Saccharomyces cerevisiae S288C: one gene and its partners. The protein of the gene in region 1 interacts with the protein of each later gene in a biochemical or structural test. Each region holds a gene or a part of one and is shown in the gene's direction. Other genes may lie near its edges.

Evidence for each region.
Region 2: the proteins of UBR1 (region 1) and RAD6 form a complex in vitro, tested with the Saccharomyces cerevisiae proteins (10 studies listed by BioGRID, with this or other methods).
Region 3: of the proteins of UBR1 (region 1) and MGT1, one has a biochemical effect on the other in vitro, tested with the Saccharomyces cerevisiae proteins (3 studies listed by BioGRID, with this or other methods).
Region 4: the proteins of UBR1 (region 1) and CUP9 form a complex in vitro, tested with the Saccharomyces cerevisiae proteins (5 studies listed by BioGRID, with this or other methods).

Annotation. Positions count from the first base shown.
Region 1 is NC_001139.9:858,331-870,116, reverse strand, and holds UBR1 (E3 ubiquitin-protein ligase UBR1), read left to right. Parts: upstream 1-4,363; coding exon 4,364-10,216; downstream 10,217-11,786. Other genes in the region: transcription factor IIF subunit TFG1, read right to left, coding at 136-2,343; tyrosine--tRNA ligase TYS1, read left to right, coding at 2,597-3,781; QCR9 (ubiquinol--cytochrome-c reductase subunit 9), read left to right, coding at 10,641-10,643, 10,857-11,054; protein translocase subunit TIM13, read right to left, coding at 11,513-11,786. UniProt on the Saccharomyces cerevisiae protein: Ubiquitin ligase protein which is a component of the N-end rule pathway. Recognizes and binds to proteins bearing specific N-terminal residues that are destabilizing according to the N-end rule, leading to their ubiquitination and subsequent degradation.
Region 2 is NC_001139.9:389,564-396,344, forward strand, and holds RAD6 (E2 ubiquitin-conjugating protein RAD6), read left to right. Parts: upstream 1-4,422; coding exon 4,423-4,941; downstream 4,942-6,781. Other genes in the region: DUO1 (Duo1p), read right to left, coding at 1-148; YBP2 (Ybp2p), read left to right, coding at 502-2,427; protein kinase PKP2, read left to right, coding at 2,660-4,135; GEP7 (Gep7p), read right to left, coding at 5,403-6,266; SDS23 (Sds23p), read right to left, coding at 6,472-6,781. UniProt on the Saccharomyces cerevisiae protein: E2 ubiquitin-conjugating enzyme that accepts ubiquitin from the ubiquitin-activating enzyme E1 and transfers it to a E3 ubiquitin-protein ligase.
Region 3 is NC_001136.10:96,467-103,158, reverse strand, and holds MGT1 (methylated-DNA--protein-cysteine methyltransferase), read left to right. Parts: upstream 1-2,091; coding exon 2,092-2,658; downstream 2,659-6,692. Other genes in the region: YDL199C (uncharacterized protein), read left to right, coding at 1-1,869; TRM8 (tRNA (guanine46-N7)-methyltransferase), read right to left, coding at 2,738-3,598; mitochondrial 54S ribosomal protein uL10m MRPL11, read right to left, coding at 3,935-4,684; ACK1 (Ack1p), read left to right, coding at 5,206-6,692. UniProt on the Saccharomyces cerevisiae protein: Involved in the cellular defense against the biological effects of O6-methylguanine (O6-MeG) and O4-methylthymine (O4-MeT) in DNA. Repairs the methylated nucleobase in DNA by stoichiometrically transferring the methyl group to a cysteine residue in the enzyme.
Region 4 is NC_001148.4:210,736-217,858, reverse strand, and holds CUP9 (Cup9p), read left to right. Parts: upstream 1-3,896; coding exon 3,897-4,817; downstream 4,818-7,123. Other genes in the region: TRE1 (Tre1p), read left to right, coding at 1-1,847; nuclear cap-binding protein subunit CBC2, read right to left, coding at 5,075-5,701. UniProt on the Saccharomyces cerevisiae protein: Probable DNA-binding protein which plays a role in protecting yeast cells against copper toxicity. May regulate the expression of important copper homeostatic genes.

The DNA of each region.
Region 1 (11,786 bases):
AGATAAAAAAGTATACTTACTGCAACTAAAATGACAGTATAATGTAACTACATAAGATTAAATGGAAAGAAAAAGGAAAGAATGAAAAGAACGAAAACTAAATAACCTATTAAGTACATAACATTATAAACTAACCTACTCTTTCTTTAATTCCATGTGGTCATTGCCAACCTTTCGACACAATTTTTTTACAATGGCAAACATTAGCTTTTTATTCTCTGCGCCAGGATATTTTCTTCTGATGAACTTTCCAAACTCTTTGATATTGACTTTGCCATCACCAATAGCCTCGATGATATCTTTTTCTGTTATTGTAGGCGCTGGAGTTTCTTCCCTTTCTGCCACTGTAGAATTCAAGCCTTCCTCTTGTTTGATTGGCGAAGGCACTGTATTCGATGCATTATTACTACTATCTACAGCTTTTGTCGTCTGTGGATTCCATTCTCCCTCTGGGAAGCTTTTCAGTATTTTCTTATCCCCCTTCAAGATAATGACACAGTTTTTAATACTTTTCACCCTCAAAGTTGGCTCTTTATGCACATGCGCATTTGTAGCTTTCTTTTGCTGTTTCTTTGGAGAAGATCTCTTGGATTTGGATAGAGTGTCCGAATCTTCTTCCTTTTTAACGGGCGATTCATTCTCTTTGTTTTCAATATCGGATTCAGATAAGTATGGGTTGATCTCATTTTCATCCGATGAGTATAGTGCTGCAAGTTCTGTCTTTTGTAATGCCTTCTTAATTCTTTCACCATCCTCATCAATCTTCTTTTCCCCAAATAACTCATCTTCTTCGTTTTCGGAAGGAGCTTCTTCATCACGAAGCCCCATCGCATTAGCTTGCAGCATCTCCTTCTTGATTCTTTGTTCTGATTCTTTATTTTCTTGTTCATTACCATCTATAATAGGTGCCTCCTCATCATCGGCAAACTCTTCATCATAATCTAACTCTACTTCTGAATTGTCATCACGATCATCTTCATCCATAGCTTGTTGATCAGCGACGGCTTTAAGCTTTCTTCTTGTTCTGTCATATCTAGTTGTAGTTGTACCTATATTATCCAAATGCTTCATCAACCAACGTGGCACTTCACCACTTTTTTTGTCCATTCTTTTTTCTGCTTCGTCAATGGTCAAAGTAGCATATTTATTTCTTGCGGTAAACTTATAAACCTTATCAGCAGGAATCATGGTAAAACTTCCATCATCTTCTACACTTAACAAGACATAAGAATCTGAGTTACCTGCTTCATAAGAACCCACCCATGTATTGTACCCATCAAAATCTTCCATAACCCATGGATAAAATTCCTCAAATCTCAGCTTTTTGGCGTTCTCATCAAGAACTTTTAATTGACGAGTTTTCCTTCTCAAATTTCCTCGTTTGGCCCTACCGCCTCCATCTGGTGCCACATCTGCTAGTGGATCCATAGTTCCTTCTTCAAATTCCGGTTCGTTAGTCACTTCTTTTCCGTCGTACTTGACCATTCCAACTTTAGTAGGGTCTTCAGCTGGGCCTGCATCCTCTAGTTTTGTCACTAACGGCCTTCCGTTAGCTAGATTCGCTGTAGATGCATTGCCATCCAAACCGTTAGCTGCACTAGTTGAACCATTTGACAGTCCATTACTTTCAACGGCGGATACAGTAGTAGGACTAGCAGGAGGGACAGAAGAGCCAGTTACAGTAGGAATGGAGGAGTTCACACCGTTGGCCGTGTTGTCTTTAGTAACTGAATCAACAGTAGGTGTCTGAGACCCATCTTTAACAGTATTATTGAGCGAGACCGTTCCTGATTTATTCATACCACCCGAGTTAGGAGTACTTCTTTCTTGCTCTGCTTTTTTTTTATACTCAGAAATTTCTTTTTGCCTTTGAACAATTTCTGCTCTTGTTAGCTGAAACTGCAAGTTTCTCGTATCCTTCCTATGCAGTCTTACGGGAAGATGGAAGTCTGTTACAGGGTTTATCTTTTTTTTACTCTGAAACTTCAAAAGATGTGTCCTCATGTTTTCTAAATCCTCCTTTGGAATAGCTCTTAAGGGAAATTCATTATATTCATTAGGATCTTCGTCCTTTACTTTAACATTGCTCCTGCCAGCATCGGCCTCGACACCGATTTGCAAAAGCATTTTCTCTCTCTCTTCAGCATACTCAGGATCATCCTTTTTGACAAGAGATCCCCTGCTGTTGTCTCCATTTGGTACGCCTGGGGAACTAGAATTGCTGCCGTTTTGACCCATTCTCATCCTCAGGAAATTTCTTCTCATTCTGTCTCTTTTAATGAAGGGAGAGGCATTCGTCGGACCTCCCCCGTTTCTACTGCCTGGTGGATTGCGTCTGGACATCCTTGCGCTTACTCGAATAGGCCTCCCTAGCTATTCTTCAACCTTTCGAACCATCCATACTTCTTACTATCATAATTTTTATTTTATCATGGAGGCGAGAAGGTCCTTATTCGAGCATCACTAAGAACGGAACTCGAACATTTACAAAGTAGAAAAATTTTATGAAAATTAATTGTTCTTTCTTCAGAATACAAATTAGTCATTGTCAAAAAGAGATTAGCATCCATAACCGCATACTCTAATTGACGATAACATGTCCTCTGCTGCCACGGTTGACCCTAATGAGGCGTTCGGTCTCATTACCAAGAACTTGCAAGAAGTCTTGAACCCACAAATCATCAAAGATGTTCTCGAAGTACAAAAGAGACATTTGAAATTATACTGGGGTACCGCGCCCACTGGAAGACCTCATTGTGGTTATTTTGTTCCTATGACCAAGCTTGCTGATTTCTTGAAAGCAGGTTGTGAAGTGACTGTTCTTTTAGCAGACTTGCACGCCTTTTTGGACAACATGAAGGCGCCATTGGAAGTGGTGAACTATAGGGCCAAATACTATGAATTGACCATCAAAGCTATCTTGAGAAGCATCAATGTTCCAATTGAAAAGCTAAAATTTGTTGTTGGCTCTTCTTACCAGCTAACTCCAGACTATACCATGGATATCTTTAGATTATCCAACATTGTTTCACAAAACGATGCTAAAAGGGCAGGCGCTGATGTTGTCAAGCAAGTCGCCAATCCATTATTGAGTGGGCTTATCTATCCTTTAATGCAAGCGTTGGACGAACAATTCTTAGATGTTGATTGCCAATTTGGTGGTGTCGACCAGAGAAAAATTTTTGTCTTAGCGGAAGAAAATTTACCAAGTTTGGGCTACAAGAAAAGAGCACATTTAATGAACCCTATGGTTCCAGGTTTGGCTCAAGGTGGTAAAATGTCTGCCTCTGATCCGAATTCAAAAATCGACCTTTTGGAAGAACCAAAGCAAGTTAAGAAAAAGATCAATAGTGCATTTTGTAGCCCCGGTAACGTCGAAGAGAATGGTTTACTGTCATTTGTCCAATATGTCATTGCACCAATCCAAGAATTGAAGTTTGGTACAAATCACTTCGAATTCTTCATTGATAGACCAGAAAAGTTCGGTGGTCCAATTACCTACAAATCCTTCGAAGAAATGAAATTGGCTTTTAAAGAAGAAAAATTGTCCCCACCTGATCTAAAAATTGGTGTTGCTGACGCTATCAACGAGCTATTGGAGCCAATCAGACAAGAATTTGCCAACAACAAGGAATTTCAAGAGGCCTCCGAAAAGGGTTATCCAGTTGCCACACCACAAAAGTCGAAAAAGGCTAAGAAACCAAAGAATAAGGGTACTAAGTACCCAGGCGCTACTAAGACCAACGAGATTGCCACGAAACTAGAGGAAACCAAATTGTAAGCATAGCTTAATCCGTTTTCACGATTCATAATATAATAAATAAGAAAAGATATATCATATAAACGTTATAAAATTAATAACCGGGTAAGTGTAGAAAAGTGATGCGACGGTTTATTTTCTCTTCCTCTTGCGATTGAATTTAACTTGCAGATAGTGACCATAAGGCAACTACCCAGTGGCAAACAGTTTTGATAACGCCCAGTACATCAACGAGCGAGTATAAAGACTTTGGTACATTTTAAAAAGGAAACATATATTGTTTTCATTGCTAGACCCTTTTAGTCTCACCTCAATAAAACTGCTTTATTCCTCATTGGGCTTTTTATTCTTTAATTTTGCATACTTATAGCGTGAAACTGGGCATTTAACAAAAGCAAACTATTTTAATAGTAGCATCCTGCTTTCTTTGCCCCTCCTTCTTATTGCGATACATTATTAAGTTTTTTTACCACCTTTCTTCCTTTTTCTTCGCATCTTCGGACAAAGGCAGTTGAAGTTTACTGTATCCTATTAGTTGACTATTTTCTCTCACTGAAGTCCCTAATCTTTACAGGTCACACAAATTACATAGAACATTCCAATATGTCCGTTGCTGATGATGATTTAGGATCTTTACAAGGTCACATTAGGAGAACACTGAGGTCTATTCATAACCTCCCCTATTTTAGGTATACGAGAGGTCCTACTGAAAGGGCTGACATGAGCAGAGCCCTTAAAGAGTTCATTTACAGATATCTATACTTTGTCATTTCTAACAGCGGAGAGAACTTACCTACTTTATTCAATGCTCATCCAAAACAAAAATTATCTAACCCAGAGCTTACTGTTTTTCCTGACAGTTTAGAAGATGCTGTGGATATTGATAAGATAACATCTCAACAAACTATTCCGTTTTATAAGATAGATGAATCCAGAATAGGAGACGTCCATAAACATACCGGAAGAAATTGTGGGAGGAAATTCAAAATAGGGGAACCCTTGTATAGGTGTCATGAGTGTGGTTGCGATGATACTTGTGTGCTTTGTATTCATTGTTTTAATCCAAAAGATCATGTGAATCATCATGTTTGTACCGATATATGTACTGAATTCACTAGTGGAATTTGTGACTGTGGAGATGAAGAAGCTTGGAATTCTCCACTTCATTGCAAAGCTGAAGAACAAGAAAACGATATATCGGAAGATCCCGCCACAAATGCCGACATAAAGGAAGAAGATGTATGGAATGATTCAGTGAATATAGCATTAGTGGAGTTGGTTCTTGCAGAAGTGTTTGACTATTTTATCGATGTTTTTAACCAGAATATCGAACCTCTACCCACAATACAGAAAGATATCACTATCAAATTAAGAGAGATGACACAACAGGGAAAAATGTATGAAAGAGCGCAGTTTTTAAACGATTTAAAATATGAAAACGATTATATGTTTGACGGAACAACAACAGCAAAGACGAGCCCCTCTAATAGCCCTGAGGCATCTCCATCGCTTGCGAAAATCGATCCCGAAAATTACACGGTAATAATATATAACGATGAATATCATAACTATTCGCAGGCTACGACTGCCTTGAGACAGGGGGTTCCAGATAACGTACACATTGATCTATTAACATCCAGGATTGACGGAGAAGGTCGAGCAATGTTGAAATGTTCACAAGATTTATCATCTGTCTTAGGTGGTTTTTTTGCTGTTCAAACGAATGGATTAAGTGCCACTTTAACATCGTGGTCAGAATATCTTCATCAAGAAACATGCAAGTATATCATCCTTTGGATTACACACTGTTTAAACATACCAAACTCCTCCTTCCAAACCACTTTTAGGAACATGATGGGTAAAACCCTGTGTTCAGAATACTTAAATGCAACAGAATGTCGTGATATGACACCGGTGGTGGAGAAATATTTCAGCAACAAGTTCGATAAGAATGATCCCTACAGATACATCGATTTATCTATCCTTGCAGATGGCAATCAAATTCCTTTGGGTCATCACAAAATTCTACCCGAATCAAGCACCCATTCACTTTCACCATTGATAAATGATGTAGAAACTCCAACATCAAGAACATATTCTAATACAAGATTACAACATATTCTTTATTTTGATAACAGATATTGGAAAAGACTGAGAAAAGATATTCAGAATGTGATCATTCCAACGTTGGCCTCTTCAAATTTATACAAGCCCATTTTCTGTCAACAGGTAGTCGAAATATTCAACCACATCACAAGATCTGTGGCATATATGGATAGAGAACCTCAGCTAACAGCTATAAGAGAGTGTGTCGTACAGTTATTTACATGCCCTACGAATGCCAAAAATATTTTCGAAAACCAAAGTTTTTTGGATATTGTGTGGTCAATTATAGACATTTTTAAGGAGTTTTGTAAGGTGGAAGGTGGTGTATTGATCTGGCAGAGAGTTCAAAAAAGCAATTTAACAAAGAGTTACAGTATATCATTCAAGCAAGGGTTGTATACAGTTGAAACTTTATTGAGTAAGGTACATGATCCTAATATTCCATTGAGACCTAAGGAAATAATATCTCTATTAACTCTTTGCAAGCTCTTCAATGGAGCGTGGAAGATAAAGCGTAAAGAAGGTGAACATGTTCTTCACGAAGATCAAAATTTCATCTCCTATTTAGAATATACCACCTCCATTTACAGTATTATTCAAACAGCGGAAAAAGTTAGCGAAAAATCAAAAGATTCCATTGATTCAAAGCTTTTTTTAAATGCAATAAGAATTATCAGTTCATTTCTAGGCAATAGATCACTAACATACAAGTTAATATATGATTCTCATGAAGTCATTAAGTTTAGCGTAAGCCACGAAAGAGTTGCATTTATGAATCCTTTACAAACAATGCTTTCATTCCTTATCGAAAAAGTGTCTTTAAAGGATGCATACGAAGCGTTAGAAGACTGTTCAGATTTTCTGAAAATATCGGATTTCTCTTTGAGATCAGTTGTATTGTGCTCTCAAATTGACGTCGGGTTTTGGGTAAGAAATGGTATGTCTGTGTTACATCAAGCATCGTATTATAAAAACAATCCCGAATTAGGTTCCTATTCCAGAGATATACATTTGAATCAGTTAGCTATCCTTTGGGAACGTGATGACATTCCGAGAATAATATACAATATTCTTGATAGATGGGAATTACTAGACTGGTTTACAGGTGAAGTTGACTATCAACACACTGTCTATGAGGATAAAATTTCATTCATCATTCAACAATTCATTGCCTTTATTTATCAAATATTGACCGAAAGACAATATTTTAAAACTTTCTCTTCTCTAAAGGATAGAAGAATGGATCAAATCAAAAATTCAATCATTTATAACCTTTACATGAAACCCCTTTCGTATTCAAAGCTACTAAGATCAGTTCCTGACTACCTAACTGAAGATACTACCGAGTTTGACGAAGCACTTGAAGAAGTCTCTGTTTTCGTTGAGCCTAAGGGCTTGGCCGACAATGGTGTTTTTAAATTAAAAGCAAGCTTGTATGCAAAGGTTGATCCGTTAAAGTTGCTGAATTTGGAAAACGAATTCGAAAGTAGTGCAACTATTATTAAATCACATTTGGCTAAGGATAAGGATGAAATAGCAAAAGTTGTACTAATACCCCAAGTCTCAATAAAACAGTTAGATAAAGACGCTCTCAATCTGGGTGCTTTTACAAGGAATACGGTATTTGCCAAAGTGGTCTATAAACTACTCCAGGTATGTCTGGATATGGAGGATAGCACTTTCCTGAATGAGCTACTACATTTAGTTCATGGTATATTCAGGGATGATGAATTGATAAATGGTAAGGACTCTATACCAGAAGCTTATTTGTCAAAGCCTATATGTAATTTACTCTTGAGCATAGCCAATGCTAAATCAGACGTATTTTCCGAGAGTATTGTCCGTAAAGCCGACTATTTGTTAGAGAAGATGATAATGAAAAAACCAAATGAACTTTTTGAGTCATTAATTGCCAGTTTTGGCAACCAATACGTTAATGATTATAAGGATAAGAAACTACGCCAAGGAGTTAACTTACAAGAGACAGAGAAGGAACGAAAAAGAAGATTGGCCAAGAAACATCAAGCAAGGCTTCTAGCCAAGTTTAACAATCAACAAACGAAATTCATGAAAGAACATGAGTCTGAATTTGATGAGCAGGATAACGATGTTGACATGGTCGGTGAAAAAGTATATGAATCGGAGGATTTTACCTGCGCACTATGTCAAGATTCCAGTTCGACCGATTTTTTTGTGATACCTGCGTACCATGATCATTCCCCGATATTTAGACCTGGTAATATTTTTAACCCAAATGAATTTATGCCCATGTGGGATGGTTTCTACAACGATGATGAAAAACAAGCTTATATTGACGATGATGTTTTAGAGGCTTTGAAGGAAAACGGTAGTTGTGGATCTAGGAAAGTATTTGTATCCTGTAATCATCACATTCATCATAACTGCTTCAAGAGGTACGTTCAAAAAAAGAGATTTTCATCAAACGCGTTTATATGTCCTTTATGCCAAACATTTTCGAATTGTACTTTACCTCTTTGTCAAACCTCAAAGGCAAATACTGGTTTGTCGCTAGATATGTTTTTGGAATCAGAACTTTCTTTGGATACATTGTCAAGGCTCTTCAAACCTTTTACTGAGGAAAATTATCGTACAATAAACTCTATATTTTCGTTGATGATATCTCAGTGTCAAGGTTTTGATAAAGCGGTAAGAAAGCGGGCCAACTTTTCGCATAAGGACGTTTCTTTAATATTAAGTGTGCACTGGGCAAATACCATTTCAATGTTAGAAATTGCTTCTAGGTTAGAAAAGCCATACAGTATTTCATTTTTCAGAAGCAGGGAACAGAAATACAAAACTTTAAAAAATATATTAGTCTGCATTATGCTGTTCACCTTTGTCATAGGCAAGCCAAGTATGGAGTTTGAACCGTACCCGCAGCAGCCCGATACTGTTTGGAACCAAAATCAACTCTTCCAATATATTGTTCGAAGCGCTTTATTTTCTCCAGTTTCACTTCGTCAGACTGTTACAGAGGCGTTAACAACGTTCTCTAGACAGTTTCTAAGAGATTTTCTTCAGGGTCTTTCTGATGCAGAACAGGTTACCAAATTGTATGCTAAAGCGTCCAAAATTGGGGATGTTCTTAAAGTAAGTGAGCAGATGCTCTTCGCCCTAAGGACCATATCTGATGTACGAATGGAGGGATTGGACTCCGAAAGTATTATTTATGATCTAGCTTATACCTTCCTGTTGAAGAGTCTTCTTCCTACGATAAGAAGGTGCTTAGTCTTTATCAAAGTGCTACACGAATTAGTGAAAGATTCTGAAAATGAAACGCTGGTCATCAACGGTCATGAGGTTGAAGAAGAACTGGAATTCGAAGATACCGCCGAGTTTGTCAATAAGGCATTGAAAATGATTACTGAAAAAGAATCCTTAGTCGATCTTTTGACAACGCAGGAGTCCATTGTATCGCATCCATATTTGGAGAACATCCCATATGAATATTGTGGGATTATAAAACTGATAGATTTATCAAAATATTTGAATACTTACGTTACCCAATCTAAGGAAATCAAGCTACGTGAAGAGCGTTCTCAGCATATGAAGAATGCGGATAATCGATTAGATTTCAAAATATGTTTGACATGTGGTGTCAAAGTGCATTTAAGAGCGGACCGCCATGAAATGACCAAGCATTTGAATAAAAATTGTTTTAAACCATTTGGCGCCTTCCTGATGCCCAATTCAAGTGAAGTTTGTCTCCATTTGACACAGCCTCCTTCTAATATTTTTATATCTGCACCATATCTAAATTCGCATGGTGAAGTTGGTAGAAATGCCATGAGAAGAGGTGATTTAACCACCTTGAATTTGAAAAGATATGAGCACTTAAACAGATTATGGATTAACAATGAAATTCCAGGTTATATTAGTAGAGTAATGGGTGACGAATTTCGAGTGACTATACTTTCCAATGGTTTCTTGTTTGCATTTAATAGAGAACCAAGGCCAAGAAGAATACCTCCAACAGATGAAGATGATGAAGATATGGAAGAGGGAGAAGACGGGTTTTTTACGGAGGGAAATGACGAAATGGATGTTGATGATGAAACTGGACAGGCCGCCAACTTATTTGGGGTTGGCGCAGAAGGTATTGCTGGTGGCGGAGTACGTGATTTTTTCCAATTCTTCGAAAACTTTAGGAACACTCTACAACCGCAGGGAAATGGCGATGATGATGCACCTCAGAATCCCCCACCAATATTGCAGTTCTTAGGACCTCAATTTGATGGAGCTACTATCATAAGAAATACAAATCCAAGAAACCTCGATGAGGATGACTCTGATGATAATGATGACTCTGATGAGCGAGAGATTTGGTAGATTCAAGCCCTCTACTATGTTTTATAGTTGACATATTTGTATATAAAAACTTATACATTATTAAACATTTGCGCGTCGATTGACTTTTATTTATTATTAACAAAGAAGTAATACCAACCTAATTACAAATACTTCGAAGTGACTATCATAAGTTTCCTTATCTAGCGAAGGCAACTTTTGAACTCCCCAGTTGTTAATATGTATCATTATACACGACCCAATCAAACGCGGGGAAGTCAATGCCGAAAGAATTCTAGGACCTAAAAGCTGCTCAATCCTTGGGCCTTTCCCTAATGACATCCCCTCTCAAACTTTAGCTTAGCAGTTGTATTTAATGTCCTGTCACGGATAGTCAATAATCGTTGAAGGTTGATTTTCATATCCTTCGCAATTTCGTAAAGCAACAATAGCAATACGGACTAAAATGGTATGTTGGTGTGTGTGTGTGCTGCTTCACATTTCAGGCTAAAAATGTTATCCGTGGAATCTTCCTTAGCCAAGTATCATGGGCTTTGGAAATTAGTTTCCCACCGATGAGCGCAACGACTTAGCGAAGCTTATGAAATTGGTGACAGCAGCTCTATGAATATGTTCCATGCGTTTCCATTCAGGTTACTAACAATGCATAAATTATGAGTAGTCTTTTTCATCACTATATAAAACCTTTTTCAAACGAAACGCTGTTTTTGTTGGTACTATCTTTGCAGGTGCCTTTGTTTTCCAAACTGTATTTGATACTGCTATTACTTCATGGTACGAGAATCACAACAAAGGAAAATTATGGAAAGATGTCAAGGCTCGAATAGCTGCAGGCGATGGAGACGACGATGATGAGTAAACGCTGATTATGTCACACATATACGTGCAAACGCTCTCTCTCTCTCTCAAGCTATATAAGTGGCACTCGTCTTATTTATTATTTTTTTATTTTGGCTGGTTGTTCATGTTCAACCCAACCTCATAAAGGCACTCAACTTCATATTTTGACACAAATCTATGTCTCGCCAAAGCGCATTCAAATTTCAGAATGGAAATAGACACGAACGAGCCTGTCTGTCAGATGTTCACAAAATCCTTATTATAATTTTATATTCTACTAAAGGAAAAAGAGAATTAGGAAAAAGAATAACTCATTTTATGTATATACATATATTTTGTACATATCTATACCAAGCAAGTATAGTGCAATACTGTTCTTCGACGTTATTAAACGTAATAGCATTTTCTTGGTATCCTTTGAATCTTATATACAAGTACGAGTACATACTGCGCAGTAAATTGATCCTGATGGTGTGTTTAGATTTCGCCAGAAGCGGAGGCGTTCTGGATTCTGGAGATGTAAGCCTTTGATATGACATTCCAACTTCTCATATATTTAGCCAAACACTGGTCAATGCACGCATCGTTTCTGGTAGCGTATGGCGAAGTTAAGCATTTTTCAAAGCAGTTCTCAGAAATTTTGTTCACTAATTCAGTCGCATTAGCCACAGCCAGTTCTTGAGCAATTTGGTTTTTCAGCTCCTTGGCTATAGGGTTTGGGGTTGTCTTTGCAGTAGTGGCTGCTTCCTTT
Region 2 (6,781 bases), 470 kb from region 1:
TGTTAGCCGAAATATTATCGCTTGCTCCACCTCCTGTGCTTTTTGGAAATTTATTGGTCGTGTTATTGAGGTTAGATCTCATCTCATTGAAAATCTGTGGAATCAGTTTGTCTATAGTCGAATCATCTAATTGGCTTTGCTCACTCATATTGAAGACTTGTTCAAGTTTCAAATTATCTTCTTTAGTAATACTTGAGTCACCAGTCCAGATTACTTAGCCTATCTTTCTTTATCGCGTTTGATTTTGGCGTTTGTTTGTAATTATTATTCTTTTTTCCTTCGTTTCGCTGTGAAACTAACTTGCGCTGAGGTCCAAAAACCTCTCATCTAAGAATAAAGGAAAATACATATTATCCTGGGTCTAAAAGGCTAAAAGAACTCACCGTCAAGAGGAAGGGCTCAGAAAGTATGGGTGAGTCAATTGAAACAATTTGTAAAAGCCTTGTCAGGGCTTTCCAAGAGGAGAAGGATGATTTTGTCTCACTTGTAACAATCATTGATATGTACAACGAGCAGGTGAACTCTGGAAAGTCTATAAAAGAAAAGGAACGTTATTTGGATGCCCTATTGAAAATACTTAAGGATAATCCAGTTACCTTAAAGGAAATTGGCTGGGATCTGCCAAAGGGTTTATTGCAGTTTTTCTCACGCAAAAACATCAATGTCAATATACATCTAGTTTTTAGTCCCCTTGTTTCTAGTGTGATGGAATGCTTCAATGAGCTAGCCATCAATGGAAATCCGAAAGAATGCTTGTTGACCGCTTGCGAATTGGTGTCAACACTCCATATAGTCTTAACTGAAACTGGCGACTCCGATGAAGAGAATGAAGATTTAAATGACTCCAATAGAAATGATGCGTCAAACATTACTGATGAGCTGTCAGTTATCACTCCGGAGATTGGGCACTATATGGCCAAAAATACAGTAGAATTCATTCCAAATTTGAAAATTTACGTTCTCTTTGAATTTATGAGTTTATTGTTGAAACGTGTGGACACTTTATATCCATCTAAATTTCTAGCCATGGTAACTTCTGCAATTATTAAGTATGTAACAACCAACGTTCAGGCTATGGATGATCCACACTTTATTTTGCGCATAGTGTACAATTTTTGTACTAATTACTCTCCAGCTCAACCATCTGCTAGTCTGACCGATGGTATTAGTACAAACGATCTTGAAAAAATTCATGATGATGAATCTGCCTTACAGAAAAAACTACTGGCTAATCTGAGCGTATTCGTGATTAGCAACTGCCTAAAAAATCATCCAGGTAATATTGACAAGATATATTTCAAAACATTGATGCATAAAAAAACAGATGAAAATGAAATCGATGCTTCAGTTTTACAGATATGCCACCAATACTACGAGTATGTCACATCATTGGATGTCCACATGAAAGAACTTTTAGAAAAGTGCCTGGTAGAATCAAGAAGCATCTATAACTCTCTTCTCATGAACCCGGCCGCTTCCACGCCCGAATTCAAAGAAGAAATTAACCAACTAGTATATGAGGTATCTTACGCATATCAAATCAAGAAACTAGCTGACGAAAAGAACTTAGAGCTGGACCAATATGGAGTTGTGATTCTATCTGCAATACATTATTCTAAAAATGGTACTCACTTATTGCCGCAAATTGATATCCAAAGCGCAATTTACCTCTATCTACGGTGTACGACAGCTTCTTTATTTTCAGAAATATACGAAAATAAGTTTTTGGAAAGTTCAGTACGCTACTGGCTATGGGTATCCACAACCGAGACTTCCACAGAGAAAATAAAGTGTGCCTTACAAGAACTTCCAGGGCACATTACCACGGCCTTTTTGCAGATGTTACTGATGAAAACTTGCAATGAATCTAATAACGACACTAAGTTGACCGAAATTACTCTTCTGAGGAGGTTACTCTATCTCATGCCCGAAAGCACATCTTTTACGTTCATCTTTGAAACTCTACTACATTGTCCATATATAACTGCAAAGATTGCTGTTCTTGACATTCTAAGAGATATGATGATTAGATCTCCTGAGGCTGCTAATCGTGACGAAACTGTCGGTTTAATCGAACAACAGAATCCTGGGAATACCGCTAATAGTGTACCGATAATGCCAACTCTACCTCCAAGACCTTACATCACTATTAATGAAGATCGCATGGCTTCCATTCATAGCATTGCTTTAATATGTTTTTCTGCCGCCAAGCAAAAGAAAAGAACGCAAGGTGATTTACTCTTGGTACTAACATATATGAAATTTTTTGTTAGTTTAAGGAACAAATGGGATTTGGGTCTGTTAACACTCATCAATAAAGAAATCTCCGAATCATTTCAAGGAGAAGGTGAGCCTGAATTAGCATTCATCAACATTTCCAATAATACTCTGGGAGAATATATAGAAGAGATGAACATACGCTCGTAAACTACATAGTAAATTAGTTGCTCTTCTCTTTTGTTCCCGAGTAAATCGAATTATTCTATTAAAGGGAAACACTATGTTTTGAGTCATCCAAACTTTCATTTTTTTCAGATTTCATCGCCCGATCGTCAAGGAATAAAAAGGGAAGGGATGGGATACTTGCATTGGAACCCAGAAAGTACGTAAAAGATGAAGATCGTGAGAGATTGGTCAATGGATAAATAGTTCTGTAATTATGTCTAAGTATCAAATTAATTGCATAAGATACCGGCACTTTCTCAGGACATCTAATATCTCGCAGATCCCTGATTTCACGAAATACTGCATTGGTCCCGTAAATGAAGAATTGGCACCTTACATCATGGAAACCATGAAGGCATACCCTTCAAATTCCGAATATATCAATCCGCAGCATTACTATCATAATAGAACGGTATTAGTAGAAAATTACTTAAAACGAAGTCCAAATCCAGTATCATTAACGCAGTTAGCGCAATATTATGACGATTCTACCAAGCTGACCAGAACCAAGATCATCAATTCCGGGAAATTTGTAAAAGAAGAACTGGTAATTAGGATCGCGCATAAATTAAATCAATTGCAACAACTTCCATTTAATGTTGTGAACAACTTCCATTTTGTTCAAGTTTATGAGTCATATTACAATATTTTTGAAAGCTTTAGAAAATATCCGACTATAAGAACTTTAGAGGACGCTTCTCAATTTGCAGATTTTATCAAAAATATGCTAGAAGGCTTCAATACTCTAAACTTACCACATTTGATAATGGGGGCTTTAGAATGTACAATTTTGGATCTTTATCCTCGTGAAAAAATGGACCAACTACTATCTGATCTGTTAAGAGCTCGAATATCAAGAAGATTGATTGTAGAGGAACACGTCAGTATCACAGCCAACTACACTAGTGGTAAGGAGGAAAATACCTTGGTATTGGGTGATATTTTTCAAGAATGTAGCGCTAAAAAATATTTATTGGAAGCCAGTGAGGAATCTCAAAAATTTATCCAAGATATGTACTTTAAAGACATTCCCATGCCAGAATTTATTATCGAAGGTGACACTCAACTAAGCTTTTACTTTTTGCCTACACATTTGAAGTATTTGTTAGGGGAGATCCTTCGAAATACTTACGAAGCAACCATGAAACACTATATTCGTAAGGGATTAGAAAAGCCGGAACCAATCATAGTAACTGTAGTAAGTAACGATGAATCCTATTTGTTTAGAATTTCAGATAAAGCTGGGGGCGTCCTCCATGATGATGAAAATCTATGGTCATTCGGTAAATCGAAAGAAAGGGCTCAAGAATCCCTAAATAATTTTCACAAGTTACCTGGTTTACAAACAGTATCTATTTATGACGAAGTACATTCCCATACTAAATATAACTCCAAACTGAAGTCATTGCAGTCAATAACATTAAAACCGTACATGCACACGTCGCTAGAACCAATGAGTTATCCTAGCATCATAAATGGGCACATCAAATATGAAACTCCCCTAATTGAATTGTTAAAGCGGTCTTTTAGATACAAGCTTGGGATTGGGTTAGCCATGTGTAAAGTGTATGCTGAATATTGGAACGGCGACCTTTCATTGCATTCAATGCCTGGATATGGTACCGATGTTGTATTAAAATTAGGCAACTTGATGAAGCATACGAAGAAACTACAATTAGATAAAGTGTGAGCTAACCATGCTTACACTATATACCAAGGAACAAATACATATTCGGAATATTAGTATGGTGACTACATTTCCCGGATTAGTGTATGTATATACAAAAAGGCACCTCCGGGTAGCCGGAGTAGAAAGCTGGAAAAATAAAAATGAAAGCGAATGGAATGTGTAAGAGAAAAAAAGGAAAGAACTATCAAGTTGCAGAGTTGATGACATAAATAGTAGAGTGGAAAATCAACGAAGATCGAATTCCAAAGATTATTTTTAGGCAGACAGAGACTAAAAGATAAAGCGTCATGTCCACACCAGCTAGAAGAAGGTTGATGAGAGATTTTAAACGTATGAAGGAAGATGCCCCACCGGGTGTATCTGCTTCACCATTACCTGATAACGTCATGGTATGGAACGCCATGATTATCGGGCCAGCCGATACTCCATATGAAGACGGAACTTTTAGGTTATTGTTGGAGTTTGATGAAGAATATCCCAATAAGCCACCGCATGTCAAATTTTTGAGTGAAATGTTTCATCCCAATGTCTATGCAAATGGTGAAATTTGTTTGGATATTTTGCAGAACAGATGGACTCCAACATATGATGTCGCATCCATATTGACATCCATTCAAAGTTTATTCAACGATCCAAATCCAGCTTCGCCAGCAAACGTTGAAGCTGCAACATTATTCAAAGATCATAAATCACAGTACGTCAAAAGAGTTAAGGAGACGGTAGAGAAATCTTGGGAGGATGATATGGACGATATGGACGATGATGATGATGATGATGACGACGACGACGACGACGAAGCAGACTGAGAAAAATCAAAAGAATCTTAATGATGAATGCCGAGCCGATATTATGAATTCGATTACCTTTTTGTTCAATCAAATATAGGGCTTCATCGTGAGTTTCTTTCTCTATCGATCCGTTTGCTTTCTATTCCTCCATCTTCTACTTTATACCGTAAAGAAAATTTAATAATGATAGAAACATTGCATATAAATAATATACTAAAAAGAAACACTGCTCTACCATAAATTTCTTTGGAGAAAATAACGTGAAATGAGAAATAAGGACAATTTGTTATCGGTTATAACTGCCGATACCCGTATCTTTTGTGTTTGATTCAAGGAATACTTATTTAGAGTAGAAAGAATATATTTACTTAGATAACTTAATGTATAATATATAAAAAAAATCAAAAAAACAGGAAAAAAAAAAATCATGAGTGAGTGGCACTTTTAACTGCAAGAATGAAGAGTGACCCCATTTTTTTTTATTCTGATATTACAGTACTCTTCTGTGCGGGCAGCTCCTTCGTTTTTTGTTTTGCACTTTCATCCAACCACACATATATGGAAACAAAAACGACGAATGAAATTATAGCTTTGCTGAATGGATCTATGCTCTTCCAAGTAAACCTTTTATCATCAAGATGAAACACCTTGACCACGTTTTGCACATCAGCAGGTAGTATATTTGCGTTTTTGTTATTTTGTAGGAGAAACCAATTATATTCGATGAATGGAAGTTTCAAGAATTGGGACCTAACTGACGGAGAAGAGTTTGTCAGGACAAATTGAGTTCGAGGTCCAAGAAAGCCAAATGACTTGTAGTACCACAACTGAATGAAATCTTGCTTTAGATCATTCCAGTTTCCTCGCATTTTCTCATTTATGGCAAAATCCAATAAATCTAAGTCATTACCACTTAACTTAGGAAAATTCTGAAGTAATATATTCGTATCTATCAACTGATTGTTATGTGTCGAAGACGGATTGAAGAATTTGTTCATAATGACACCAAGCTCGCCGTTGTTTAGACGCTCAGTTAATAAATGATCGCGTTTCAAACCACTTGTTTCGTCTTCATCTAGATCTGGTGCACTTGGCTGCAAGACGCTAAATATCTCGGACATGGTCTGTGAGAAGGAAATGGGGTTTTCTGTAGATGTAGTACTGCCATTTTGAGCTAACCGTATTTTCTGCTTCAAAAGCAGTGAAGCCGGTGGAATTCTTTCTAATTTTGGTTGATAAAATCTCTTTACCAAAAGATTTCCTGCGACTGCTTTAATCATGGGACCGATTCTGAAGGCTCTATGCGATTTTAATCTGAAGATTTTAACATTTGACAGTACCATCTCAATCGGACCTTTTAACTGATTTTAGCGAGAACATGTGTATATATTTCCTCTAAGAAAAGAAAGGGCCTAAAAACCTCGCCCCAGTGCATAATAAAAGTAAAAAAAAAAAAATCAAACTTTATTGGGATAAAATAAAAATCAGAAAAACCCTTATATATGTATATGTAGTTAAATGAAGCCAGTTTTTTTCGTCTGGTTTGTTTCAGCCTATATGCCCTCTTTGCTTTCTTGCCATCTGCGGATCAATTTCCTTATGATGCGTTTGTTTTCTTGCCAAAACACTTAATATGTCAGTCAATGACACAACACCTATCAATTTACCTGTTCTATACTCCTTTTCGAAATGTGCTGGAGTTGGAGATGCGGGACAATTACTTGGACTTTGAGGTGGTGGCATTGTGGCCGATGGAGACTGTGGTTGAGAAGGTGAGGGACCACTCAAATTTATATTTACATTTATTTTATTGTTTGATGTATCTGAAGATTTTAGAACAGGAGAGTTGGCCATCCTG
Region 3 (6,692 bases), on another chromosome or scaffold:
CGTCGTGGTTCTCTATATAGAGACAGCGATGCTACTGTGGTTTTGCCGCTTTCTGAACATACCCCTAGATTATCAATGGATGATCCATACCGCCAATTACTACAACAGGCTGAAATCTCACAACTACGAAGTAAGAAAAAAAGGCATTCCAGTCGAGTTTTGCGTACTTCGTTTATATCTTTTGTGGTGCTAGTTTCCTCGCTGTCAGGGTTGGACCAAGGCCTCATATCTGGTAACGTTATGACTTTGTCGTTCCAGAAGTATTTTCATTACCCACTTACTTCTCCGCTGGGCAATATAGTGAGCATTGTTAATCTGGGTGCGTTCATGGCGTCGTTATTTGTCTATTCTGGCATCCTGGAGCCTTGTAGCAGGAAAAAAATGCTCCAAATAAGCACAATGATATACTCTTTGGGTGCCATTGTTCAGGTCTTGGCTCTAAACCAATGGTGTTTACTACTGGGTAGATTCTTACTCGGAGTAGGTATGGGCTTTGCCTTTTCTATGGTAATAATTTATCAATTCGAGTTTCCCCTTCCCTGTATAAGAAAACGGACATTAATTTCCATTCAATGCGTCTCTAGTGTCATTGCGTATTCATTCGGAATATGGATTAATTGTGCTTTCAGATATTTGGGCTTTGCATGGAGATACCCTTTGTCAACACATGTGGCACTTGGAATAATACTAAACCTAATGTCGTTCTATCTTATTTTAGAGTCCCCTTCGTGGCTGTTGAAGCAAAAGAACGACGTAGAGGCATTGGTTTTAATATCGAATGTTTTCGATGATGGAAATTTCGAAGAAAACCAAACTCAGTTGAAATTTAGGGTCCTGAAACGAGACATATTATTAAAGTCACACCTTCAAAAAAACTCCTATCCATATGCGTATATCTTAAAGGATTTTTCTTCAATAATAAAATTGTTGATAGGTTTCCAACTTCTCACACGAACAAATGGAGTGGATGCTTTCTTGTATTACTCACCGTTAATATTACAACAAATGGGGAGAGGAGAAAGAAAATCTATCTATTTAACGGGGCTTAATGCTTTAATTTACAGCATCGTAATATTAGCATATGTTCCCTTGGTGTTACGGAAACGTAAAGAGAAAACGAATGTACTCTTAGGTTCGATTGTGATGTGTGCATTGCTATTTACCATATCTTTTACAGACTGGTTTCCCAAGAGCACAACGAGGTATATATCAATACTATTTGCTGTTTTTCTTTTTACGCACTTCATCAGTTGGGATTCTATAGGATGGGTTATGACCATTGAGCTTCTACCTCACTTGTCACAGGCCCCAGTGATACTACTAGTCTCAAACTTTTATTGGATTTTTAAGTGGTTCGTCAGCTTAATAACCCCTATACTTATTGACCGTCTGTCTTGGAAGTTTTATCTTATTCCATCTTTATCTTCCTTTATTTCCATTATATTTGTGCTGAAGATTTTTCCTATAGAAACCCGTGACGAAAGGTTAGATTCTGATGATGATTCTACCGGAAACGGTAGCGGTAACCATGATGATGTTTTTGACGATACCGGTTCTGAATTCTCCTCCTCACCATCTTTTTCCGCGTATCAGATAAACACTCTAGGAAGTAGTATCAAACAAAATAATCAAGCCTATTCATCTATTCAAAATGAGCAGATTCTACCCAAAAACGGAAACTTATCGAACCAGACACACGGTTCTGCACAAAATGTTTATTTCATTACATCTGATTCAGGACCATCAAGGACTGGAGAATTTTTCAGTTTTCATAACAGAACCGATCCAAATATCAGCGACAACATTGCTGCGAATAAACCCAGTTCAGGTGGAGGCCAGAATTCGCCTGGAGACATGGCAGTTGCCTAGTATGGCCTCATAAAAATATTTGCTTCATCCTAAGTATAAATGTTTAGTTTTATCCTACATACATATTCTTATTATAGTCATTAGAAAAAAGGCACGGCGCTATTGGCCTGGCAGGGCATTTAAAATGCGGTGGAAACAAGGAAGATTAATCAAGTAATGATATAGCATATGCACAAAAAAAAAATTGAAAACGGTCGCATTTTTGATCTAAATGGACCAACGATGAAGGAACTGCTTTACTATACATTCATTGAAACTGAAGTGACTGGTGCATTTTTGGTGTTTAGGGAAAAGACTCAAAACCTTGTTTTTGCCTCGTTAGGTAATGATAAGCTTTTTTTATTGGGAAAGGTGGAAGGCTTCTTGAAGAAACATGAGAAACAGGATACAATGTACGATTTACAGGAACTAAAAGAGGCAGAAACATATAAGAAATCAATCGAAAATTATACAATATGTTTAGAAAACAAAATGCCATTACCATCGGGCGCTATTCCCTTTGAGTTCCTGTTTGGAACAGATTTTCAACGTAAAGTTTGGAATGAGCTTTTAAACGTGGAACACGGCCACGTCGTAACATATGGTGATATTGCAAAGAGAATAGGGAAGCCAACTGCCGCAAGATCTGTCGGAAGAGCTTGCGGCTCAAATAACCTGGCATTGTTAGTACCTTGCCATAGAATCGTTGGTAGCAATAGAAAATTAACCGGATATAAATGGAGCTGTAAACTGAAAGAACAGTTATTAAATAATGAAAAGGAAAATAGCTTAAGCCTTAGTAGATTGTAGTTGGATAAAGGATTTTAGGAAAATAAACATAAGAAATAGTTATGTATATGTGGTAAATTGTTCTAGTTATACATCTATGTTACAATATGGCTGGCGTTGGTAATCTTGTGAAACAAGCGACGAACTTGTCACCCTTCTTTCTTTCCACTTTTTTACCTTCTTCTGTGGCATTTCTCATTATTTTCACACATTCATCGTTTTCTTCCCATTCTTTGCTCAACCGTTCAAATAAAGGATGCTCTTCTAAATGTTTTACCATCCACTCATGCAGGTCTTTGACGTCTGTAATTGTGTACACGACACCGCCCTCTTTCAAAACATATGCGTACTCACTCAGCAAGGTGTTAGTGATAATTCTTGCCTTATGCTTTCTTTGTTTGAAATGAGGATCGGGGAAACAAAAAAACATTTTAGAAAGCTGGCCCTTTTCAAAAAAGTTGGGCAAGAATTTCATAGCGTTACCTCTCAAGACATTAATGTTTTGAAATCCATGTTTTGAAGCTGTATTGTTCCTTAAGGCAATAATTCTATCCTCCACGTAATTTGTAACCTGCACACGAATTTCCATCCCTAAGATAAGATCTTCAGGGAAGGCTGGTGATAAATCTATCATCAACCCACCGAATCCACAGCCAATATCAGCAATCGTCACCTTCTTTGTCATTTGTCCATTTTCCGCGTTTTTGTAGTAAGGGTACAATTTGGACCAATCCATATCCTGGGGAGATACTGGGTACTCTAACTGGTGATCTGAAAATGGGTTGGAATGCGCCCTTTGACGATAATATCTCTTCTTTGGCAAGTCGATCTTTTGGCCTTCTTGCACCAAAGAACTTTCATTGATCTTTACATGCTTCAACTCCTTACGATTTTCTTCCTTATTTATACGGTATGCGTAACGCTTGGAGCCTGGATCTTGGCTTAGTGGCTTGGCTTTCATCTTAACAATAAACGCTTGAAAATTTTATCCTATGGGAACTGCTGAATCTATACTAATCCAGCTTTTGTGGCGCTTTAATAAAGTGAAATGTCAGAAATATCCTGAAATTTTTTGCTGAAGTCATCACCAAAATTTTTCATTTTTTTTTTTTTTCAACGGTCGCTGAGATATGTAAAAAGGTAAGAAAGGTAAAAGAAAGGTAATTTTGACGTCAATACATAGACTAAAGTATATTTACCGTTATTGCTTCATTGTCTTTTTATTTTTTGATGATGTATGTACATGATTGAATAGTAAAACCTTTATAAAACTTGTCGAATTACGGGCATTTTCTTTTTACTTTGATCCCTTCGATTCTGCATCTGTAGTTGACTCCACATCCTCTTTAGGTTTTTGGTTGTCATTGTGAGATTTTAGTGTTAAATACAATGCATTTGAACTGTTTTCCAACGTACGAACCAAACCCAACCCACTTAGCATTTGCAAAACGCTGACTAACTGCGACTGCATTTCCGGCTTTGTGGGGAGAGTCTTAAAAGTGTTTATTTTTTCCACATTCAAAACTTCGTTTTCTACTTTTGCACCAATCACCATCAGCTTGTCTTGTGCTGACTGCAGAACCTTCAATAGCTTGGCTACTTGTTGAGGGTTGGTGTCTTCGTATGTAATTGTGGCCGTAGGACCCTTCAGTAGTGGCAAGAGTGGATGTTTCCAGTTTTGCTCTTTACGCTTCACGAATCCACATGGGTCGGGCAGATGCGAATTTCTCAAGTAGACTTCGAACAGGTTGTTTCTTACTTTTGTGAGTTTCCCTCCTGTCTGTTTAATCTTGAATCTGAAATGGTGATCTTCTGTTTTGGAAAGATTATTGTAATGGACAAAAAAAATCATAGAACTGTTCTCCATTAAATGCTTGTATGTATCGATGAGAAACGTCTTCCTCGAGTCCAGCGGCTTTACTGTCTTTCTTGAGGGTTGTTCAGAAGCCAGAGCATAAAATCTCTTATGTACTGTACCAATTGTCTCCTTCAAACCAAAAAAACCATTTCTGGGGACCCATCCAGGCATAAACCTTAGCTGCAACATTATTTATAATCACACTCCGCGCCCAAGCACTTCCAATAAGGTCTAAAGCTTTTGTTTTCCTTACTCTTCAATTGTACTAACCTTCTTTCTTTTCTCAGTTTACTGCTATAACTCTACGTTTTTTTCTGTATGAATCTCTACTAAGCCCTAGGGTTATTAGTGTATAAACGTTAGGTTACACTATGAAAAAGACTTGTTTAATAGGTCATATAGTAAAAAGCTTAGGTTAAGTGCCTTCAAGAACGAAACCTAATTTTAAAATTGACGACTAATTATCAAGTGTATTGAAGATGGCTTGAGATGAACCTTAGCACTGGATGCTATGGCTTGTAGAATAAGCAGATATCCCGGTAATTTAATTTGAGTTGCTCAAATTATATACAAGAACGTGGTAGAGACTGGATTTGGAAGCGTCTCTTTTTATGAAGTAGATTTTAACTCCGTTTTCTTTTCATTTCCTTCTATTCTTTTGTACAGAGTGTACCACCACGTTTTAATACTTTGTTTTAATACAGTAGGCAATGGTTAATCAGGGCCAACCGCAACCTAACCTCTATGACAAACACATTAACATGTTTCCACCAGCAAGGGCGCGGGAGTCCTCGCATAAATTGGGAAATGCCAATTCGGATAGGCATGGTTTGCCAGCTCAAAATATAGTGCCTGCACCCTATCCAGTGGATGACTCTATCGTTGAACTCACACCAGCTATTCCTTTTACATCCCCTTCATCTTCCTCATCATTATCGCTGCCTTTGAGTGCGCTGAATTTCACAGACGGGAATGCTGATGGTGGTCAATTAGGCACTCCAGTAACCATAAATAGTAATAACGGCATGGACATTTTTAATTCCAAGCCAACAGGTGAAATAGGATATGCCAATAATGGCACCAACAGTACTGGTAGTAGGTATGAACTTCCTTTCAATTTTAGTTCTACAAAAGAGAGTTTGGGTTCACCAGCTGTACAAGATGCATCAATAAGCAGTGGAAATCGAATATCAGAGTCTGTAAGGGACAACTCAGCGCCACCACCCTATGAGGAATCTGAATCTAGGATACTGCAGGAAAAAGTTTACAGAACCGAGGAAAAAGCTCCAATACGACCTTTGAATAATAATCCTGTTCCACCACAAAAAATCAACCAACCACCCACTGGGAGCGCGAAGACAGACGATAATGGGTCCTCAGGTGGTGAGGACAAACTGTCTTCCTATTCACCAGAGGCATTGGCTTTCTATCAAGTGTACAAGAAGACAATTACTGACTCTTCAAAATTCACCCCCGAGATACAAATGCAATGGTGTGAAACATTACTTACATATGCCTTTAATGAGGATTTCATATCGCAATATAACATAAACGCGGAGAAGCTCAAAAGAAGCTTAAAGCCTGAGGAAATGCTCAAAAACCAGAAAGTCATTTTGGAACATTCATTCAAGGTGCTCACAAAATTGATAACTTTAAAATGGCCACCTGCCATGTATTTAATGGGGACGCTGTATTCACACCAACCCTATTTACCTATAAAGAACAAAAACATCGTTATTAAAAATGATGAAAAGGCGCTGGAATATTATTGTAAAGCTGCGAAATTGAACAATTCAGATGCATGCTACCGTGCAGGTGTATGCTTTGAATACCAAAGGGGCACCTCTTCTTTGGATCCATCACCAACCAAAGAACAATGCATAAAAAAGGCCTTCCAATACTACCAGCATGGCGCAGAAGTTTGTTCAAATTCTGCGTGTATGTATAAATTAGGGATGAGCCATTTATACGGTCTGAACATGCAAAAGACTGATGTATTGCTAGCTATTAAATGGTTTGATAAAGCTGCCCAAAAGGGTGACTCTCCACAAACATTATATGAGTTAGGTAAAATATATGAATTCAGTGTTTTGCCGCCAGAAATCCAGAACCTATTATTTGCGAACGGCATACGAAAAGACTCTCAACTGGCAATAAAATACTACCAACAATGTGCCAAAGATTTTGAGTACCCTTT
Region 4 (7,123 bases), on another chromosome or scaffold:
GTAGTATGCCCCACATGTCAGGAACAAGTGGTGATGCCGCTATTAGACATTATATTAAAGAGTCGTTCGACAAAAATGGTATAAGGCTAGCTGGGGAAGAGGAGTTCATGGCGTATTCGAATTACCCAGGAAATGTCTCACTTCGTGTATATTCAAAGGATGATACAGAAGGGTTTGATATTCCCTTAAATGAGGAGAACTTTAACCCAATGAGCCATAATGGTCAATTGAACAACATACCGGTGATTTATGCTAATAAAGCATCGTTGGACGATATGGCTTCTATGCAAGATCAAGGGCTTTTAAACGGTGACTTTATTTTACTAGTGCATTACGGAGATTATGTTTTCCAACAAATGTTGACTGCTCAAGAATATGGTGCGAAAGCAATTATCTTTATTTCTGAGCCTTATCAAGACAACAAAGACGTGATACAAATGAAGTCAGTTGCGTTGCCGCAGTATGGTACTGGTGATGCACTTACGCCTGAATGGGAAGGATCAATAAGAGATCCTATCGATGCTACGGAAGCCAAGTGCCTACCCAAAATTCCATCCATACCGATATCTGCCAATCAAGGAGATAAAATACTAGCTATATTATCAGACACTGGCGTAAAGTTTTCTAATAATTTATTCAGTGGGTCGCTTAACGATTGTCGACTTGACCTACTAGTGCAAACAGCAATTAGGGAACGCCACCCGGTTCACGATATAGTTGGTAAAATTGAAGGATCGGAACAAGCGGGCAGGGCAATTGTTATTGCTGCACCGAGGAACTCTGCTAGTTATGGCACTATGTATCCTTCTTTTGGAACCGTCGTTTTGCTGTCTCTGATCCAATTATATCAAGAAATGGTTTACAAATTTGACTGGAAGCCTCTAAGAAATATATATTTCATTTCCTTTGGGGGCTCTGAATTTAATGAAGCGGGAGCCACGGAGCTGATGGAAAAGAGAACAGAGGCATTGAAGAGTGAAATATACACCATTATCGACGTCGGCCAAATCGGTATATGGGATGATAGTAACAATTTAGAGATACAATGTCATCCGCTACTAGTAGATCTTTTTCAAAAAAACATGACAAGCCGTAAATTTAACGTTAAAGTGGATAATGTTCACCAGTTCGGCGACTGGACGCCGTATCTAGCGCAAGGGATTCCAGTTGCGATCATTTCATCTCCAGGAGTCATGAATAGAGAACATCCGATCTACACAGTAGAAGACAAATTCGATTTCATCAAAGATAAACTAAGAGACAAAAAGAAGGGAGAGGTACTTTCTGAGATAATGCTATATCTTGTCGAAAAATCACTCGAGCTCATTGACGATCCATTCATCCCATTCAGCATATCGAACTACGTAGATTTCCTTTCAACTACGTTAAAAGACCTCCAAAAAGAATGTCCTGATACGGTAAACTTTGACGAAGTCTTTTTGGGCACAACATTGTGGGAAAACACTAAACTGCAGTTCGAAAAATGGAAAAGCGAATGGACAGAGCTTATGTATGGAGCCGGTACATATATAGAACCCACTATCATTGCCATTAATCGTTGGTCATGGAACTACCTACTTTCCCTAATAGGCGTTACCCAATGTTTGGAGGAAGGGTTAATGGATAGAACCTTTTACAAGAACGTTATCTTCGGGCCAAAACTCTGGGTCGACAAAGGTGACCCACTTCGTTCATGGACGTTCCCTGAAATCAGGGACACTATTGCAATCAAGGACTGGAGCTCTGTGCAGGTTCAAGCTAACACACTCGGCACAATTTTACAAAATACAGCACGCTATTTTCTTGAGAATAAAAACCTTCATGGAATAAACACGAACGAATTTTAGTTATCGGTTGAAAGAAAATTACACATCGATTTATGCAGGCAATCAACTATAGTATACACAACATATACTCCTATGACTTGTAGATTTCTTGCCTAGGAAGACTAAATACGTTTAATTCTAAGATTAGGAGCCCATGCATTTAAAGTTGCTTTTTGCCTGTGCGGGACAATTTTATTAGTCAGTATGGACATCTCCGCGGGGAATTTTTTTATCGGCAGAGCTGTTTAGACAAAGGATATAGATAGTATAAGGTGTTAGTACACACATTTCAACATAGTTATATTAGGAAGATTGCCACAAATTTCCTCTTTTTTTTTTTTTTCTTGTTTTTATTACACCTCCGCCCCTTGAATACCTTAGAGGTTAAGAAGTGAAATGCCAAGAGAAAGCCTAATAGGACACACAGTATTTACCACGGGAAAAGCGCGGGATATTTGAATCAGCTGGAGATTATTATGTACGCCATGTATATTTTTAGAGACGGCTTGTAACGGGTGCCAAGATATTCCATATTTTTATGTCTCAAAAAGGAAGAAAAGAGCTACGAGCACGTGCAAATATATGAACTTCAACACCTGTAGAAACTCGATAGTGAATAAATCAATCACAGTGCTTTCCTTGAAATAAGCTTCTGTCTGAACTTTAACAGTGATTTTTTTTTTATAGAACAGGCCTTTTCATCTGCAGAGATATGTCTAGTCTCGTAGGTTTTGACTCGTAACTTTGACTTCTGCATCTGGATCGTCAAAGCAACCCATACTTGACTTGATTACATTAGCATCAAAGAAAATCGTGCCAACGCCTTTTAGTCATGTCGAACGGTAGAGGAGGAGAAAGAGGGAGCTATCAAATTTAAAATTCGCAAACAAGCTGTTGAGAGCGACATAATAGCAATATTGTCGGGCCCCTTAAACACGTTTCATTAGTGTTTTAAGTGCCAAGCCAATGTGTTAGTAAGCTTGTAAAGGAATGCACGTATTAGAAAGTGAGCAACTTAAAAGTGAGCAAATATGATTAAAGTAGTATGCCTCCGAAGCTCGTCTTGTACTGCAAACTAAGCACAGAATATGCCGCACAAATGTCGGTGCCTATTATACATATGCTTTTCGTTATGTGTCTTAACAGACCTGACCGTTAACGGCAACAGAGAAAAGGAGCACTACCGACGGCTTTTTGCTTCTGGCCTATTTAGTGCCTGAGAATTTTGTGCGTGTTTCCTAGTGTCCGGCGGGCTTGACCTAGTCCACACTTCCAACAAGCACAAGCAGCGTGCTTCCTCACACTGGCGAATGCACCCAGAGTCGGCGTTGCCCGAAGTAAGAACCCTACCGCTACTCTGGCGCAGGCGCAGAGGAGCCACAGCCCTTTAAGACGCAAAAAAAGTAAAGCGGCAAAAGAAAAAACTGTCACTTTCGGACCGTTGGGTTATCCACGGGGTTTTCTGAGCACTCATGATCGGTAGCGGTATATTTCTGATCTCGCTCATTTTCTGTCAAATCGTCCTGATAATGGACGAAGACTGTACGTAAAGGGCAATTTTAAGAGACACAAAAGAATCCCACGAGAATTACTACTGTTGATTTTTGTGATTGGCTAGATAAGAAACCTTATCCGCTCACGCGCGTATTACTTCCTTCTTCGGATTCAGATTTCTTTCTGTGGGAACGGGTCATTTCTGCCATCTTACGTCTCTCAGCTTTTCTCTTTTGTTGAACCTTAATTTATTCATGTACATCAAGCTGTAGTTTGTTTTTTTCTTTTGGTAATTAATTTTTGTCCTTTTGTTTTCTTACAGCGTGTATATATTAATGATTAATTTTCTATGACTGATTTCGTCGCGCCCGGCGTTTTCTTGTCTCTTAATGCCTCCTGTTTCTGTTAATTGGTAAGATTATGTTAAATTGGTCAAGATATATACTAATACAATTTTTTAGTTGATCTTCCCACCCTTGTTTTCAAGCGATACCACGCCTATCCAGTGCTACTGATCGCTACTTGCCGAGCCCCTACTTTTATGCTAACAACCTTCGAGAATAGTTACATTCGAAGATGAATTATAACTGCGAAATACAAAACAGGAACAGTAAGAATGTTGACAATCAAGTCAGTCTACCCCCTATCCAAGTTCTATTTAACTCCATAGAAAAACGGAGTATGCCCGAGTTGGCATTTTCGAACATAGAATACTCGCATGGGAACCTTCGGTCTAGTACCGAGGAACAAAACTATCCTGCGCCTGTGTTACTTCCACAGCATCATTCGATTGCGTATCCCGCAATTAATTCTGGCGGTACTAGTACTACTGCTACTCCTACTGCTTCTACAGTTGAAACGTCCAAGACGAGTAGCAGTGCTATGGATACACAATCTCAATATGGCAGTTCAAAGAAGTCAAAATCGGCGTCCGATGATGCAAAGCCCTGCTACAAATCCGCCCCAATATATGAAATAATCAATAAGGAAAAGGATGCGGGGGCACAATACAACAGGCCATTTTCGGATTTTGTAGAATCTAAATCAAGGAGGAAGCAAAATTCGGGCAGGAGGTCTAACCTGCCAAAGGAAACAGTGCAGATACTGAATACTTGGTTGCTGAACCACCTGAATAACCCCTACCCAACTCAACAAGAAAAGAGGGAGTTGTTAATCAAAACTGGGCTAACCAAGATTCAACTTTCTAATTGGTTCATAAATGTGAGAAGACGCAAAATATTTAGTGATTACTATACCCTGGTAAACTCAATTCCTAATGACAACGCGAATAATACCCCAGTGGAACGAGTTCAAAACGTCTCAGCATATCATAACACATTATCTGCCACAAATAATACTATGTACGATGCTACGTCAACCTGCTCCACGGATTATGAATTATCCAAGAGATTTGCTCATGCCCCCGTTACACGCCGTAAAAAACTAATTGATAGGCTGGAAGAATTGAAAAAGCTATCCAACCCTGATATGAATTGATCACTTATCAATGCATTACTTAAATATTCATATAATTATATCTATTACCATTTACATTTTATCGTTACTATATATAGTATTATCATGTCATTGAACGTGTTACGTCTATTATGTTACACTGATTTTTTTTTTTTTTTTTTACATAACAGCATCATGCAAGCCTTTAAAAATAATGTAGGTATGTATATATACAATAATATATATATATATATATATATCTGTGTGTAGAATCTTTCTCAGATATAAATTGATTGATTCTACTGAGGTACGTAGTTATCATCTTCTCTTTCTTCATCGAAACCTGGTCTGAAAGTACCCATTGCATCAGGAGGAGGGATATAATTATTCGTATTAGATTGTGAGCTACTGTTATCAAATCTGGAATGTGGTACGCCGACACGCTCTGCAAATGGAATGGCGAAGCCACCTCTGGATGCATCAAAATCGAACCTCAATTCATCGCTGACTTGACCACCGCTCTTACCACGACCAAACTGTCTTCCATCTTCAAAACCAGGATCTAGATCAATGGTAATTGTCTTTTCGTCTAACTTTGTATCGGACAAATATTTTAAGGCATTCAATGCTTCATCTGGACAACTATATATAATAAAACAGAAGCCACATGGCGTGAACTTAAAACGGTCCAAACCCATAATTATTCTTTTTATTGTGCCACATTTACTGAATAATTCGTAAATTTGTTCTTCTGATGTATAAAAGGAAAGATTTCCTACATAAATTGTGGATGACTTCATCGACTCACGCAGTTCTTGTAGCCCGTTAGGGTTTCTTCTAGCCTTGCGCAGCAGGTACCTTGATGGTGTATCTAGGCGTTTAGTTGAATGATCATATTTAACTTCGTCAAATTCTTCCAGGGACATCTTTCCCTTTATTTATTGGTATATTAATGGATGCAACTTTTATTCGATATTAGTCCTTTCGGGACTTTAAAAGCTGTCGAGACACTTTCTCCATATAAACTCATGTTCTATATTCATACATATAATATTTTTCTTGAAAAAAACACAAAAACTGTTAAAGCGGGTAATACTTTGATAAGCACTTATTAACGTTTATACCATACACTACTTCATACACCAATTACAAATCTATTAGTGGTATACTTTTACTGTAGACAATGTGGATTTTGATGTAATTGTTGGGATTCCATTGTGATTAAGGCTATAATATTAGGTATATAGATATACTAGAAGTTCTCCTCAAGGATTTAGGAATCCATGAAAGGGAATCTGCAATTCTACACAATTCTATAAATATTATTATCATCATTTTATATGTTAATATTCATTGATCCTATTACATTATCAATCCTTGCGTTTCAGCTTCCACTAATTTAGATGACTATTTCTCATCATTTGTGTCATCTTCTAACACCGTATATGATAATATACTAGTAACGTAAATACTAGTTAGTAGATGATAGTTGATTTTTATTCCAACATTTACTGGTACAATAGGTGTATGATATTTTCCCAAAGTTTAAATTTATATAATATAAGTGGCTTGTGCATTAATGCTCTTGAACGAAACTGGATAACGAAAACTGCAAATACTTGTAGTTTTAAACAGACACTTTCTGGGATAGGTCTATCAGCGAAGCTTGGGAATGTTTCGCCAAATTACCTGTATCCTTTCATGAGCGTGAGCAGGTTTAGGTCATGGTCACATCTTATTATATAAATTCTTTCAGAAGATTGTCAATTGTCCATCTATCGCCATAGATTATCTGAGAGCGAAGTTCCATTATGTCTACTAGTAGAAAATAATTTGAAGTTGAAATATAATAGCATTACAAAATTTTTTCTTTATATAGTCCGGTCTTGAAGAAGGATAACAATATTAAGTGTATGAAGACACAAGAACTTTTTCTTGGAAATTTGGATTTTTATGGGAGGAAACCTACAGCGGCAATGTATAATTATGATTAGTTCATCCTTTGCTGCCATCTGTTCGCAATTATTCATGCAATTGTATGATTATTGTCAGGCATTTCAACTTCCGGTAGATTCGTTTGTAATAATAGGTGAATTTTGTGTTGACATTATCAAACCGTTAAGATAGTGTTAGTTGCCAATTAGCATTTGCCTCGATAGAATGTGACGTTAGTTGTGGTACTAGGAATAAAAGTTGATGGCCAAACATTTTTCCTGCACATTTCCTTCAGCGTTTTCAGAAAAGAGAATTTGAGTAAAAATATTTTTGATGTTTAGGTTACCAATATCTCATTAATATAAATTTGAAAACAATGAATTTTGGGTTATACTTGGAGTGCATTTTATTGT